2 linked regions of the Bombyx mori genome follow. The protein of the gene in region 1 interacts with the protein of each later gene in a pairwise test. Links are inferred from orthologs where the notes say so. Each region holds a gene or a part of one and is shown on either strand. Other genes may lie near its edges.

Region 1 (2,724 bases):
TTTAATAATGTACGTTATTTACTACGTAACAGCGTTTAAAAATGAATCAATTTGTAAATAGACAATCAAATAAAAACAGGTTGTAAAATAATATAGGAATTAATAAAACCGATTCTTTTTAATCAACACTTATCATTCGCCTACGCCCTCTATCTATCTATCGGTGATGTCATGAATGTACATTTTGTTCGGATAATTATTACGCAACTAAGTTTGACACTTAATAATTTCTGAAAGATTTTATATTTTTGCTGCGATCCGATTTTGCTAACATATTATGGCGTTTAAGAACGCACCTTTTTATGATGCGTAAGTCGGAACGCACGAGAGGGGAAAAAAGAAGATAGTCTGGACCTTTTTACCGCCGAAAATTTAAACGGACAAAAAAATAATAATGTGTATAACTTAGAACTCCTATTGTGTCAACTGTGGTGTTAATTATATACAATATGGACTCCCTCAATATTTTTTTGATATGTTCAATTCAAAAAAAAAAAAAAAAACGGAGCTAGTCCACGTTTTGCCTTCGTCAGATAAACAAAGAATTAGTTCATAACTGGTTTTATTACTAATTTACATTTGTTACATGGAATAGAAGTGCATAAATAAACTTAAAACTAGTTCGAGACTCGAAGATTTTATGATTTAGACAGAATCTCTTTCATCGCGAGCTCTATCTTCAGCTGGATGCACGCGACCCTCTCTTGAAAGATCTGGTTGATCAAATTCAGTCTTTTCTGCTCGAGCAAAGCGTTTTCTTTCATCAGCCTCTGTTTTAACTCTTGCTCGTCGACGCTGGAGTTTTCTTTGGCATCTTTGTTATTCTGTAGGTTGCATTCCTGTTTGTTCTTCAGAGCGACGTAGCTCCTCAGCTTGACAATCTCGAATTGTTCCGAATTGATCTTCGCTTGCAACAACGACTTCAGTTGCAGGTATTCAGCGTTCTCTAATTCGAGACGCAGCACTTTGAGTTCTTTCTCGGTGAGTTTCGGTTTATCTTGGACGGGTTCCGTAGCTTGTGTCTCATCTGTGGTCGTTTTTTTGTCCGGCTTGAAGTCGAAGTTGTCTTCGAATTCCGCCTCGAAGGTCGCGTCTTGGTCGAGCGGCGATTCCTTGGGCTCGAACGCGTCGATTGGCCTCTCGACTTCGCGGACTGGCCTCTCGACTTCGCGGACTGGCCTCTCGACTTCGCGGACTGGCCTCTCGACTTCGCGGCCTGGCCTTTCGACTTCGCGGACCGGCTTCTCGGCTTCGGTCGGCTGCGAGCACACTCGCGTAGTCTCCTCGTCCGGTTGCTTCTCGTCTACGGATGATTGCTGCGTGGGCACCGCGTTAGGCTCCGTTGACTTTTGTACCGAACGAAGTTTACGCTGTAACGAAACATCAATGATCGATAATAACTATTAGTCAATCATTCTATAAAATTCAAATTTTACTGGTGGTAAGAGTTCTTGTGAGTCTATTCTGTCCCCGTCTGTTACTGCCGTGAAGCAGTAATGCATTTCGGCTTGAAGGGTGGGGCAGCCGTGGTAACTATACGGAGACCTTAGAACTTATATCCCAAGGTGGGTGGCGCATATACGTTGTAGATGTCTATGGGCTCCAGTAACCATTTAACACCAGGTGGGCTGTGAGCTCGTCCACCCATCTAAGCAATAAATAAATAAAAAACGAGTGTGAATTCAAATAACTCTTGAGGCGTATTCATTAGACGTACTACGGGTTCTAACATTACCTTGAGTTGTGTTACAATTCGCTGCGCCTCCCATAGTTGTTGATCTCTGGCGGCCGTTATGAAGCCGGCGTGCATCTCCGCGTGGATCTGACTGAGAAGAGATTCTTGTTTCCGCAGCTCCGCGCTCATCTCGGCGGCGGAGTCGGGGAAGTCGGCCGGCAGCGAGTGGAGAGGCGGCACGTATCTGTCACGAATACAACGAAATGAAATACGTACTTAACTAATGTGAACACGATTGACTTCCACAGTGTACGAATACCATCGTCTTCTCGCATTAAAACTGTATAATCTCAAAATAAAGAATAAAGAACGAGTATATCAGAGGAAGTGTGAAAGTGGCCCCGGTAAGCAACAAATTAGGGAGCGGACGGTTTGCGTGGTATGAACATGTGATGCGTAGAGAGAAGATGCATGTGACTAGTAGATGTATGGAAATGGTAGTGCAAGGTAGAGGGGAAGAGGTCGACCGAAGAAGACATGGATGGAGTGTGTGAATGACGATATGAGAGAGAGAGAGAGGAGTGAGTGTTGAGATGACGGCTTATAGAAGAGAATGGAAGAGAAAAATTAGCTGTGCCGACCACACCTAGTGGGATAGGGTGGAGAAAAAGAAGAATCTCAAAACTTACTAATTTTACAGGAGAATGTTTTAAAGGTTTAACATGTGATATTTTTAATATTAAACATATTTGCAACATTTATTTTTTATATTTTTTCCAATTACATTATCTGTCTTTTAAAGTAAGATAAAATTATGTATTAATTTTGTCAATAGTAGCCAAAATAAAGGTAAACAAAAAAAAAACGAAACTACGCTCTTTTGACAGTATTTATGAGAAAAATACTGGTGACACCAAATGATTCCGCATATTAACTCAATTTCGAATAATTTTGGAAATTGTACACTTTTTATGCGAAAAGACGATCTTAGAACTCATATCTCAAGGTGGGTGGCAGCATTTACGTTGTAGATGTCTATGGGCTCCTAG
Region 2 (2,695 bases), on another chromosome or scaffold:
TCGACTGTTTACCATTCGGTCCATAGAATCGGCTATGTAGTTATTACAACGCGCCCCCAATCACAACATAGGAGCACCTGAATGATATAACAATGAGGTTTTTAGAGAGTTTTAACTGTGAACGTGGAAGGCTTTAAAAGAAAAGGTCGACCTAAGAGGAAATGGATGCTTTGCGTGAAAGACGATATGTGTAAGGGGGGAGTGAGCGAAGTAATGGTATATGATAGATGTTGCGCTGGCCCCAGGTGACTGGGAGAAGGGCAGGAGAATGATGATAACGAGAACGGCCGACGTGCTACATCAAGTCTCTTCTTGAAGATTAAATAGTTTGACATCTTTGAACGTGTGTATGTGATAAAACCCTTCTTGAAGTGAAACTTCTTTAGAATCGTGATTTCAAACTCGATGAAAGGAAAAAATAAGTCCATAGACACAAACATATAAATGTATAGGATTCAGCCGGCGAGAGAATGAGATAGAACACATTAGACGTTCTCGGTCTCCTCTTTGTGCGACTCTTCGTAGCATCCCCACCATCGTCTACTTAACATTGTCCATATGTAAGCTCCTGTGTAATGGGATAGTCAGTATATCTAAGTCAGTATATCTATATCTTTTTTTTTTGCATAGATGGGCGGACGAGCTCACAGCCCACCTGGGGTTAAGTGGTTACTAGAGCCCATATACATCTACAACGTAAATGCGCCACCCACCTTGAGATATAAGTCCTAAGGTCTCAGTACAGTTACAACGGCTGCCCCACCCTTCAAACCGAAACGCATTACTGCTTCACGGCAGAAATAGGCGGGGCGGTGGTACCTACCCGCGCGGACACACAAGAGGTCCTACCACCAGTAATTACGCAAATTATAATTTTGCGGGTTTCATTTTTATTACACGATGTTATTCCTTCACCGTGGAAGTCAATCGTGAACATTTGTTGAGTGCGTATTTCATTAGAAACATGTCGCTTAAACCAAATGGCCTTTCACTTCTCGATATGTGATTTTTATTAGCCCCTTATTTTTAAGCACAACTCTCTAATGATTTGTGTAGCTCGTTGGTCGTGCACAACAACAAGGATCACCTTGAATCCGGAGGGTGCAAAGGGAACTTCGAACCCCATGGAGATGGGCGGGCGCGTCCACTTCTTCTTGGTGTCGGTCTCGAGCAGCTCAATCTCCGCAGACAGCTGGGTCTCCTTCATGCCCGCCATGCGCTTGATCCTGAACATTTTCAAAATTCATTTAAACCGTTAGCACGATTACCTACACCAAAGTATATTTTGGAACGAAGTTCCTTATGGGACGATGCAGAGGGGTACCCTAACCGGGAAAAAACGTCCGTAACGTAAGATTTTTATTATTTACTAGCAACCCGCCCTCGCTTCGCTTCGGAAACATTAAATTTTATTATTGATAGTTGAGTCCCGCAACGTTACCCGTGGTTACTGTCGTACTGCGGGTGACGCCGCGGGGCGAAGCTAGTCTAAAAAAAACCTAAGTTACTGCTTATATCATCAGCTACCTATCAGTGAAAGTCCCGTCAAAATCGGTCCAGCCGTTCCAGAGATTAACCGGAACAAACAGACAGACAGACAAAAATTGTAAAAAATGTTATTTTGGTGTATGTACCGTATATAACTAGTCAGGTCAGAAGTATTGTCACACAGTAAAAACTTTTCTTTTAGAATGCTGGCCACAAAAAAGTTTATTGAATTCGAATTTCGAATTGTTCATGAAAATAAAAATGTATACTTTTAGAATTTTACTCATTTTTAAATATGGAGTGGACGCTTAAAGAAGACCGTGTTGCAGTTATTGCGTTGCATCGTTGCGGTTACGCGCCAATTCAAATTTTTAACATACTGAAAAATTTGAATATAACCAAAAGATTCGCTTATCGTACCATCAAACCATACAATGAAGACTCTAGTGTAGATGACAGGTCAAGAAGTGGTCGCCCTCGGTCTGTTAGGACTCCAGCAGTGATAAAAGCTGTGAAGGCGCGAATTCAAAGAAATCCCAAACGTAAGCAGAAACTGTTGGCCCTTCAGATGGGGTTAAGCAGAACCACGGTGAAAAGGGTGTTAAATGAAGACTTAGGGCTTCGGGCATATCGAAGAAAAACAGGACATCGTTTGAATGCTCGTCTAATGGACCTGAGACTGAAGAGATGCCGCGCTTTGTTGAAGCGGTACGCGGGAAAAAAATATCGGGAAATTCTTTTTTTCGGATGAAAAAGTTTTTACCGTAGAAGAGAGCTACAACAAACAAAATGATAAGGTGTACGCACACAGTAGTGAAGAAGCGAGCAACCGTATTCCGCGTGTCCAACGAGGTCATTTTCCATCCTCGCTCATGGTATGGTTGGGAGTTTCTTATTGGGGCTTAACAGAGGTACATTTTTGTGAGAAAGGTGTAAAAACGAATGCAGTTGTGTATCAAAATACAGTCCTGACGAACCTTGTGGAACCTGTTTCTCATACCATGTTCAATAACAGGCACTGGGTATTCCAACAAGATTCGGCGCCAGCTCATAGAGCGAAGAGCACACAAGACTGGCTGGCGGCGCGTGAAATCGACTTCATCCGGCACGAAGACTGGCCCTCCTCCAGTCCAGATTTGAATCCGTTAGATTACAAGATATGGCAACACTTGGAGGAAAAGGCGTGCTCAGACTTTTTGGCGGGAAC

The links. The genes of interacting proteins can lie anywhere in the genome.
Region 2: the proteins of ralA-binding protein 1 (region 1) and AP-2 complex subunit mu interact in a two-hybrid assay, tested with the Drosophila melanogaster proteins (2 studies listed by BioGRID). The link is inferred for Bombyx mori from reciprocal best matches to the Drosophila melanogaster genes Rlip and AP-2mu.

Annotation. Positions count from the first base shown.
Region 1 is NC_085113.1:5,985,847-5,988,570, forward strand, and holds the end of ralA-binding protein 1, read right to left. Parts: intron 1,920-2,724; coding exon 1,736-1,919; intron 1,371-1,735; coding exon 639-1,370; 3' UTR 546-638; downstream 1-545. UniProt on the Drosophila melanogaster protein: Participates in receptor endocytosis during interphase, is also involved in mitotic processes when endocytosis is switched off.
Region 2 is NC_085114.1:2,144,676-2,147,370, reverse strand, and holds part of AP-2 complex subunit mu, read right to left. Parts: intron 1,227-2,695; coding exon 1,088-1,226; intron 1-1,087.